3 linked regions of the Daphnia pulex genome follow. The main gene of each other region encodes a partner of the protein of the gene in region 3 in a complex. Links are inferred from orthologs where the notes say so. Each region holds a gene or a part of one and is shown on either strand. Other genes may lie near its edges.

What was found.
Region 1: WASH complex subunit 5-like (region 3) and WASH complex subunit 4-like share a complex: the UniProt entries of both Homo sapiens proteins name them as parts of the WASH core complex. The link is inferred for Daphnia pulex from reciprocal best matches to the Homo sapiens genes WASHC5 and WASHC4.
Region 2: WASH complex subunit 5-like (region 3) and WASH complex subunit 3-like share a complex: the UniProt entries of both Homo sapiens proteins name them as parts of the WASH core complex. The link is inferred for Daphnia pulex from reciprocal best matches to the Homo sapiens genes WASHC5 and WASHC3.

The regions. Positions count from the first base shown.
Region 1 is NC_060026.1:1,374,359-1,378,116, forward strand, and holds the start of WASH complex subunit 4-like, read right to left. Parts: upstream 2,785-3,758; 5' UTR 2,610-2,784; coding exon 2,546-2,609; intron 2,479-2,545; coding exon 1,961-2,478; intron 1,895-1,960; coding exon 1-1,894. UniProt on the Homo sapiens protein: Acts as a component of the WASH core complex that functions as a nucleation-promoting factor (NPF) at the surface of endosomes, where it recruits and activates the Arp2/3 complex to induce actin polymerization, playing a key role in the fission of tubules that serve as transport intermediates during endosome sorting.
Region 2 is NC_060025.1:880,142-882,849, forward strand, and holds WASH complex subunit 3-like, read left to right. Parts: upstream 1-981; 5' UTR 982-1,091; coding exon 1,092-1,142; exon of another isoform or gene 1,143-1,209; coding exon 1,210-1,374; exon of another isoform or gene 1,375-1,415; intron 1,416-1,496; exon of another isoform or gene 1,497-1,610; coding exon 1,611-1,988; 3' UTR 1,989-2,103; downstream 2,104-2,708. Other genes in the region: 60S ribosomal protein L44, read right to left, coding at 120-257, 325-498, 851-853. UniProt on the Homo sapiens protein: Acts as a component of the WASH core complex that functions as a nucleation-promoting factor (NPF) at the surface of endosomes, where it recruits and activates the Arp2/3 complex to induce actin polymerization, playing a key role in the fission of tubules that serve as transport intermediates during endosome sorting.
Region 3 is NC_060017.1:7,246,454-7,250,211, forward strand, and holds the start of WASH complex subunit 5-like, read left to right. Parts: upstream 1-1,593; 5' UTR 1,594-2,074; exon of another isoform or gene 2,075-2,091; intron 2,092-2,150; 5' UTR 2,151-2,383; coding exon 2,384-2,508; intron 2,509-2,576; coding exon 2,577-2,667; intron 2,668-2,724; coding exon 2,725-2,916; intron 2,917-2,984; coding exon 2,985-3,205; intron 3,206-3,267; coding exon 3,268-3,493; intron 3,494-3,568; coding exon 3,569-3,758. UniProt on the Homo sapiens protein: Acts as a component of the WASH core complex that functions as a nucleation-promoting factor (NPF) at the surface of endosomes, where it recruits and activates the Arp2/3 complex to induce actin polymerization, playing a key role in the fission of tubules that serve as transport intermediates during endosome sorting.

The sequences.
Region 1 (3,758 bases), on a different chromosome or scaffold from region 3:
AATTGACGGCCGTGTTGACGACGCCGGACCCGTGGGTCCTGATGGAATTGGCCGCGTGTTTGATGCCGATCGTGCTCAAGTGTTTGCTGGTGCTCGACTGCTCGACAAAGAACTGGTTGTTGAGATTGTAGCCGAAACGGGCCACAAACAGGTGAATGTTGCGCATGATTTCCAGGACGTCGAGCCCTTGCTCCAGGGTCTGGCTGGGCAGCCGGTCGGGCAGCGGCTTCAGGTTGAAAGCCAATCCGGCCAAGAGTCTCATCTGGCCGTACTTGCGCCAATCGTGAGAGGCCAAAGCGGCCAGATTGTAGAACGTCTGGCCGAGATAGTGTTCCACCCGGTGGGGAACGCTCAGCTGCTCGTGCCGGCCCAGGGGCAAGTCGCCCAGGGCGCTCAAACAAGGCGACTCTTTGAACGGGTTGCGGGGCGTCGGGTGGAGATGGGCGTGCGACTGGATCCGTAATTCCGTCTCGACCGAGGCGCACAGGGGCTCCAAAATATGGACGTCCAGGGCTCGGCGGATGAATTTCTGATGGCCTTCCACCAGCTGTCGAGGATTGGCCAGATGCTTGACGCTGGCCAGAGCCGATTCACAGTCCATGACGGCCATCAGAGTCTGTCCAATCCGGGACGATTCGAAGCGTCTTTCACGGGCTTCCGGCAGGTAAGTGTTGAGGAGAGATTTGTGCCAGTAAAAGACTTCGCAATCGGCCAGGTAACTCAAGCGGTGGCGTATGCCAACGGAAAGCAGCTCCATCTTCTGGAGGCGATGGGCCAGCAAGGACAATTCTTCGTCCTGGAAGGCGGTGCAGGCTATGGCCAGCGAAATCCTGGCCGTCGAAACACGGGATGATGTGCAGGGACCTTTCAGGACTCGCTGGGCCAACGCCAGAGCCGCGCTGACCGTCTTCCGGGGACGTTTCTTGCTGCTCTTCTCGCCGGCTAATCGCTTGGCGGCCAACTGGACTACGTCGGAGACGGAACGACGGAGCTGCTGTTGCAGGTGCATCCAGGCTTGAGGGTAATCCGTCAGCTGTTTCTCGATGGCCTTTTGCAAGGTCTTGATGAGCTCAAACGTCTGAAAGGCGGCCATGACTGTGCCTTTGGAAATGACTGGCTGGATGGCCAAGTGGAGGTTCAATATCAGACGGACGACGCCGCTCAGTTTGGCCACGTAGCGAAGTCCCTGCAGGACCAAACAGCACTGATTGGTCAATTCTTCTTGACTGTTGACGTGCTGGCCGCTCAGCCTCGACAGCCAGAGGACGATTTTCGTGTTCCACATTTGAAGGTCTTTGGCCAGCTGCTGGGAACGCTGGCGGACGTACTGGAACCGGGCAGAGCCGACACTTTCCAGCATTTTGCTATCGACGGCCCGGTCTCCACGGGGTAGATAGAGCGACAAGAATTGGTCAGGGAACCACAGACACGACCCGACCAGAGGGACGGCCATGATGGAATTTTTGGCGACATCCAGGATGGTCTTGAGCTGGCGGTTGTCCACTTTCAGGCCAATGTGAGCGTGCAGGACAAACAGGCAGACGATGCTGAGGAACTTTTGCATGTTCTCGTAATTGTCCCGCTCGCCTTCCTTGTCCAGACGGAACGATAATTCTTCGAGGAAGCCCTTGACGTTGGCTGAAATCTCGTCCAGCAAGACTTTGTTGTTGCTGGTGGGGAAACTCTGGTTCATGCATCGGAGGAAGAGCGTGCCCGAAAGAGTTTTCTCGGTGATTTCGTCGAGCGACAAGTCCAGCAGCCGCAAATCTTCCGGCGTCGTGTCGAAATTGGAGGCGTTGTGTTGAATGGATCGAACTACATGCTGCAGCTGAGCAACATGTTCCCTCAGCAAGTTGTTTCGGTTAATGATGGAATCCAAATTCACAAGGATTGACTGAAAAGCAAAGAGTGTGTGTTAGTTTCGGGATATTTTTGAGAGAAAAGTTGAGAATTAAAATACCAGCACACATCCCATTCTTTCGAAAATGATTTTGAAATGGGTTTCGCCAATCTCAAAGTATTTTGGTCCAGCGTCTGAGCTGCAGTACAATCTTGAAAGCTGGCCCACCATGTTTTTGATCACTTTGTAGCAATAGTTGACGTAGCTCAACAACTTTTGCAATGTTTCGACCATTCTACCGGCACATGCATGGCCCTCTCCAGACTGCAGAGCTTTCTCGTCCACACCCTCACCGTAATAGAGGAGAGGGTAATAGAAGGACCTCCCCTCTTCAACCAGAAAGTCCATCTCGCTGACTAAATGCCCCAAAGCCAGGACGACTTTTCTCAGCTCTTCGTGATCAGAGTGGACAAGGTCGACTAGGGAGATGTCTTCGCTGGGAACTAAATCCAGACTGACTGTCTGACTGACATTTTCCTTGCTCAAATTTTCGTGAATTTGACACACAGCTTCCAGATCCGAGCCACACTTGACCATGAACTCGCTATATTCTCTTGCAACATATTCTTTGGCCACCTCTACATTAAAAAAAGGGCAAAAGATTAGTGAAACTGATTACCACAACTAAAAAAGAAACCAACTCACTTTCTGCGGCATATCTCCCATACTCGTGGTTGGAAACTGTCGAGTTCCCATTCATCCCTACCATTTTCAAAATCAAAGCAACACGATATTTCAATAAAAATCAATTAAATCATTTAAAAAACGCCCGTGACTATAATAACACGTAAACAAGCTCTGGAAACACAAAAAAATAATCTGAATCTTCAAATTCTCGGAATACCAAAGTCGTCTGCTAGATCACAAAGTTGCCAGATGGGATTAAATCGAAACAGTTCCAATTTTTCCAAATTGGTTAATTTACATCTTTCGATGATGTAACATTAGTGTAACAAGGGTATTGAGATAACAAAGAATAACTGTGACGTAACAACTATAAATGGTCAATCGAAAAACATTTTGATGTGTTTCTGGCGAAATGGTTTCCCACGGTCTAAAACATCGTGAGAAAATAGATTACGGGGAACCTGGGCCCAGCAATCGATTGGGGGTGGTGGATTAATCTCTCCCCCTCACCCCAATCCAATATGATGAAAACTAATGACGCCGGGTTGATCTTGTTTTATACAACCCCAGTGGGAATTACGAGAGGAGTTAGACGGTGGGGTGAATTATTCGCACCACCCCGAAATGTCTGGGTGGGTGCCACATTCTTTCCTGGACAACCGTACTACTGGGCAAATGGTGAGAAAAAAGTGAACGCGCAAGGTCACCCACACCGGACAGGTCCAGCAGCAGTAGCATAGATATACAGCGGCTCGATTTAAACAACCCACCTGAGATATGCCAAGGGTCTCGACGGATCGGACATAGCGGATGAGGTGCGAAATCGAAGAATTTTCTCACGATTCCGCCCCAGTACCCAAAAATTATTAATTGTAACTTGTGAATCTATATATCCTGGGCGCCCGTCTTTATTTTATTTCGCTCCACCCACACACAGACATCACCCAACCCTCTTGGTCCACCTAAGTATATGTAGCCGGACTGGGTGGCCCAAAGTATTTATTCCCGTTCTGGCCATCGGCCGAGTATCACCACCAGCTACTTGCAGCACCACCACCAGTTCTTTTCAACTTTTCAAAACTTTCACAGTCAATTTATCCCCCAAACAGAAAATCGTAACACTTGTACGGCTTTGTTTATATTTTGTTAGTTTAGTGGCCGGCCAGTTCTATGTGTGTGTGTTATGGTGGCTCACTGATTGATTGATTTCTTCCCGAGTGATTGAGAGGAT
Region 2 (2,708 bases), on a different chromosome or scaffold from region 3:
TCTCGCATGGAGCCATTTCCCTACATTATCATAGGGATTAAGGAAAGTAATGAAGACTAATAACAGACTATAGGCGCCAAAGATGTTGTATTGGCCAGCACAAGGTGATGACAAACAGTCTAGAACTGAATCATCTGTCCCTTCCTCTTCTTGTCACCTCCAAGTTCAAAGTGCTTGCAACGCTTGAGGGGGATCTGCTTGCGGACTTTGCATTCTGAGCACTCCATCCTCAGGACAATCTTTTTAGTGGTCTTGGCCTGCGTAATTCAACAATGAGAAGCATTAGTACACAATTCAAGTGAACCAATCTTTAAGTCTTCATACCTTCTTCCTGAAAATAGGTTTGGTTTGACCACCATAACCCTTTTGTTTTCTGTCGTAACGACGACGACCCTGGGCAGCACTACGCTCCTTGGATTTCTTGTACTGCGTCACTTTGTGGACCTTGTGGGTCTTGCATTTTTTGCAGTAGGTGCGACGACTCTTTGGTACGTTCACCTAAAACGAGATCAACAAGTCATGAGCCGGTGTTTTCGACAACAAATTATGACAGTTTAAATGCACAACATACTTAACAACCACATACTTACAACTACAAAGAGAAATTTACACCTTAAACTTTTAAGTAATGCTAGTATTAACAGTCAAAATAACATGTCTAGTCAAGGTATCCATATGACAGACAGAGTGACAAAACAGATTTTATACCAGTCAAACGAAAAGTCTACCAATTGACACAGAATGCTAATAAACATCATCGAATTCTACTGCAAAAAGAGATGCTATATAAACATATAAGATGGTTAAATATCAAAGGATGTTGCGAGATATTAAATCGACGAGACTATACCATTTTCGGACGAACAGGCGAACGAAGTGGAAATGAGACAGAATTCTCTCCTCCGGATTGCAAGTGAACAACAGAGTTGCCTTGTTCCTCAAATAATTCGACCGCTGCGCCTGAAGGGGATGGATTCTGTGTCGTCTGCTAGAAGAAAAACAAAACAATCAAACGCGACATTTATCCCATGGATGTGATTTAATAATTCGTATATTCCACGTCGTTCTAATCAAGGAAGAAATACTAAGGGATGGAAAATAAAGGACTACCTTTTTTCGGTCCTACTGTCGAGTTCTCTTCGGTTCGTTTGTATTTTTCATTTTCGTTTAAATTGGATGATGGCAGTAACACATTTTAATGTTTGACAGGTTCCGCCCATCGAAACTAAAAGAATTTTGAGCTATTTCAACCAGTTTGTTTCCAATTCAGTTCAGTTACTAAACAAATTTGCAATTATATGTGATACCAAATTGCTGGATCTCAACTTTCGACTACAAGATGTTGAAGCCACATTAGCCATTCTCGAAGCAAAGGTAAATTCCTTCATTTAAACATTTCAATTCCACCAGCTCTTCTTTAAAGATGCATAAATAGGGAAAATTGGTATGAAATTAAATTTTCATGAGAAACAAATTTAGATTAAGCAAGACCATACCTACTCAGTTATTTAACAATACATGTCGAGCCAACTCACTCAAGTGTATCACTTTGGGGTATGTTTATCATTTATAGACAATGAATGGCTGATTCTTTTTTCTTTTGAAAACAGTTGGCTTCAGTTCCTGCACTGGAAACTACTTCAATACCGGCCATCCCACCTACAGTGCCTGCCACCAGCTCAGAATCTGTACCAGTGGCTGCAAGCGTTCAGATCCTTCCATCCGCCGTTCCACCAGTCTTTCCTGAAGATGTTTCTAGCGTCCACCAGACGGCGGTGGCGCCTCCGAATCCCGAAATCCTTCGGTTCGTCAAAATGCTTGCCTTTGGGGTTCCGTTAATGGCCGTCGAGCAGAAAATGCGAGCAGAAGGTTACGATCCATCGCTGCTCAACAGCGGCAAAGTTGACGTCACCAAGGCCCCACCAGCACCGCGATCAACCCATTCGAGCTCCGACGACGACGAAGAATCAAACAGCGACGACTATTAACACAAATAACAATTAATCATTTTCCCCGAGACTTATGAAATTTCAGTCTTATCGTGCCTGTATACTTGATGCATGGAGAAAGGATTCCGATCATACATAGACATAATCAATTCTCGATCGACGGTTGTAACCGGAGAGCCTTGATGAGAGAGTCCGAACGCGTGATGATTTATATGTTTGGCCCCACGTATAGACAATATACCACAACAACAACAACAACACTCTTGAATAATGCATGTCAAGAAAAAGAGTCACGGGCCCAGCACTCAGGCCGATTGCCAAGACTCGTACGTCCTTGAGAAAAGCTTCCAGTTGTGCGTTAGACGGGAGAGATGATCTCTCCGGACAGCCCACACGAGGATCCCGACAGCCAACCCCACCACTCGGCAGATCCAGCAGTTTCGACGTATCAAAGCCCCCCCCGCATATTGATTTGACAATGACACAAACAGGCCTCTAATATCGTGTTAGTGCTGCAAATCGTCGGTTGGGTTGGTTTTTTTAAATTTTTATTTTTTTTTTCATCCTCTCCCAGTCGAGTCAATAAAATGAAATGCAACTAAAAAGGGGTGGTGTATTTTTAGATAACACGGACCCGGCGAGTTTAATTTTAAAACAAGCTCGTCGCCCAGCTGTACACCTCGGAACTCTGGAGAAAAAGAAAAGAAGAAACTTGGAGCTCTTTTCTCCTAGAGTCAAACATTTTCCACGAAACCTATA
Region 3 (3,758 bases):
TAACATTGGCCACTTTTACCATTATTTGGTATCTATTTTTACAATTTCATAATGGGCTTTTGCAACAAGTTCTCTCCAGAGTCTTTCCTTTCAACCGCGGAATTTTTGAAGATTATGTTGCCAACTTCTGGTGCACATTAAATGTTTTGGTCAAAATCCGACGAATAATGGAACCCACCGCTATCGCTAGATATTGTTTACTGCTAACAGCTCTTTTCAGTTTCCCTTGTGGACTTCATCTATATTTTAAGAACAGTTCGCGTAATTTGCATATCTCTTTGATCAACGTGTCTCTTGCATTTTTCCTATTCTCCTATCAATCTCCTATCAATCAAGTGTCTGGTGTTTGGCTAAAGTGCCGTAAACCAAACATCATCAGTGAAATACTCCATTTTCTAATAAATGAGACACTTGATGGACACTCTTTTGACAAATAAATAATAATAATAGAAATATAAAAATGGCCATTTGATGCATGCCGCCTACGAGATTTTTTCCATTGTTTTTCCATTTTCCATGATCATGGAAACAAAGTATTTGCTGGCGAGTAACAACATTTGTGATTTGATGGTCCCGACGTGTTGCGATCCACGTCAAAATAATTCGTTAAATTTGAAATAAAATGACAACCTCCTAATTATTCATTTAAAAAATAGCCGTGTTTTGGGGCTCAAACAATTATTTCGATAAAAAGAAATCGTTAGAAGTGCCTAACGAAACTCAACTATATTATTCCCTGTAATTTCATGTAAACTACATAAATGAATCCCTTAGAAATGACAATCAAAACATAAAACAAATGACGAACGCTGCTCACAATACCAGGACTGTGGCGTTTCTGACATTACAAATATCTAATTTAAATGTTAAACTAATCACGATGTAAACTACATCTTTCCTTGTAGTTTTTCACGCAGATTCAGCTGATAAAGAAAATAATGCCGAAAAGCGCAAAGTGTGAACGCCAACTGTTCCCTAAACATGACTAAACTACCGAACCAATGGGAAACCGTTCACACAACGTTTAAACCAATGGGAAGCCGATAAGAAATCACATGACATCCACTAAACATTTTTAGACCTTTGTAGCGCAGACATACGGTTACGTTAAATCGCAAATGATTATTTAAAAATATACATAGAAAATACATCACGGTTGTGCTTACGATTGTTTCTCTAAAGACAGATCTTTAATCGCTGTATGGGAAATTTGGTTATTGCTGGACACAGGAACATTCAATGAAGTCGCCAAAGACGACCTAAATTTTTTGGGCGACGGACCTGCAATGTGCGACATGATGCACCGATATAAAAAACTCTATTAAGAACACAGCCATGCATAAAGATTGCACATAACGAATTTAACGATACCATTCCCTCACTACCCTATACATATGGTTCCCCTAGCGACCACACCCATCATTACAAAATGAACGATTATGGTTTATATATTGCCCCGATTTTACTGCCACCTCTTTCACCTCAACATTTGCCATTATTTCCAGCTATTGTACTGCCATCTTGGGGGGGGGGGGGATGACAAAAAACGAATACATAGTTATCCCAATAGCCACAATAACCCGAAGGCGTATACCCAAGGACCTTGTTTGGTCATGGCGGCTTTAAAGTTTATACGACGAGTTTTAGTAGCTACCAGTTGATTAATAGGGAAGCCATTAACTGGAGTAGACATTTAGCAAATGGAGTGCATTATTTAAAAAATAAATGTGTTTACTTTATCGAATTAGTCAACTGAAATTTTAAAAAGGTTAGGCAGACGTAGTCGTGCGGGGGGTGCGGGTTTTAGCGTGTTAACTAATAACTAACCAACGGAGAAATGTTTCAAGTTGAATTCTCAAAATTCAAGGTTATGGTTTTTTTTCAGGGAAAGTGTAAATAAAAGTTTTTCCATGTTTGTCATTGATATTGATTGCTGGTAATTGAGACGTGCAAACCCCGTGACGTGAGTGTTCTGTGCGACACCTGAGCCTTAAAAAATCACACGAAACTGAATGTGGAACCAAGGACTAAATTGACTCTATAATCCTGAGGGGAAAAAATCTCCGTTTCTTCCGTACGCCGCACAATTTTGTATAAAATTATTGTATTTTGTTTTATGAAATAATTATTTATGTTTATTTCCCTTTTAGCCGTCACGTTTTAGCTATTTACCGGAAAAAATTGGAATGGTTGTTAAAGCAGAGACATCTATAAACGAAAAAAGATTTAGCGCATGTTGTCAGGCCTGTGCCTTTATTTTTCACAAGTTTTGACAAGTGATCAACGTAAACAGACGAGATTATAAATTTAGAATTTAGCCAGATTTAGCCTAAATTTATTATTCTATGGATACGCCCGGCTCGACAGTCAAGTTTAATTAATCATGGCTGAAGATTTTTTAGCAGAAAATAATCTGTGTGGACAGACCCTTTTGAGATTGGTTTCAAGAGCTCATGCAATAATTGCTGAACTATTACGTCTAAAGGATTTTATTCCACAGATTTTTCAGTAATAGTCACTTAAAATCTATAAATCCAGTTATATTATTTTATTATTATTATTGTTTTCATTGTAAGGTCCGATCAAAATAAATATCATGAAATTGTATTGGATTTTCGATATTTTAAAGAACAAGATGTCTTTGATTCAAAGATTAATGGAAGCGATGTAAGTGAGTTATCAATTCAGATTTTTTCTCCATTAAAAATTCACATCTTACTCTAGGTTTTAGTGGAATTGGATGAGGAGTTACGAAAGAATTATATTGAAATCCTAACAAGATTCTATCTTGCATTTGAAAGTGTTCACAAGTATGTCTGTGATTTGAACACCTTTCTTTATGAACTTGATGAAGGGATTTATATCCAACAAACTCTTGAAACAATTATTTTAAATGATGAAGGCAAACAGCTCATGGTTGGTTATAAAAATGAATTTTTTATATATGCTTCACCTTTTTAAACTAACCTTTTTTTCCTCTGCAGTGTGAGGCACTTTATCTATATGGCATCATGCTACTAGTCATAGATAATCATGTTGATGGGCCTGTTAGGGAGAGAATGCTAGTCTCTTATTACAGATATTCTGTTCAAAGAACTCATTCTAATTCCAAGTTGGATGAAGTATGCCAGCTATTGCGTTCAACTGGATTTTTGAAATCTCAGCCAGGAAAAAGGCCTCAACATTACCCAGAAGACTATTTCAAGTAGAATGAATTCTATTATTTTTGATTCATTTTAAGTAATGCCTATATGTGGTTGTTCTTAGACGTATTCCGATTGCTCCAATTTATTTGGATGTAGTAATAGGTCATTTGAGATCAGATGATATCTATCACCAAATTGCAACCCATCCGCATCCTGATCACCGAAGCACTGCACTTGCTCAACAAGCAGCCATGCTCGTGATTTGTCTTTATTTCACTCCTGATATTCTCCACAATCAAACAGCAAAAATGAGAGAAATAGTTGACAAATTCTTTCCAGATAATTGGGTAATTAAGATTATTATTAATCTCTTCCGGATACCAACGACTCCAATATGTTGTAATTGTATGGTTCTTTTCTAGGTTACCAGTGTTTATATGGGATTAATTTTCAACTTAATTGAAGTATGGGAGCCGTACAAAGCGGCGCGAATGGCACTCAGCAACACAGCGCAGGCTGCCAATGTAAAAGAGTGTTCAGTTAAGCATAGCAACCAATTGGACCAACTTATAACACAATTACGTCAATTACTCAAAGAAGGAGTCCTGACCG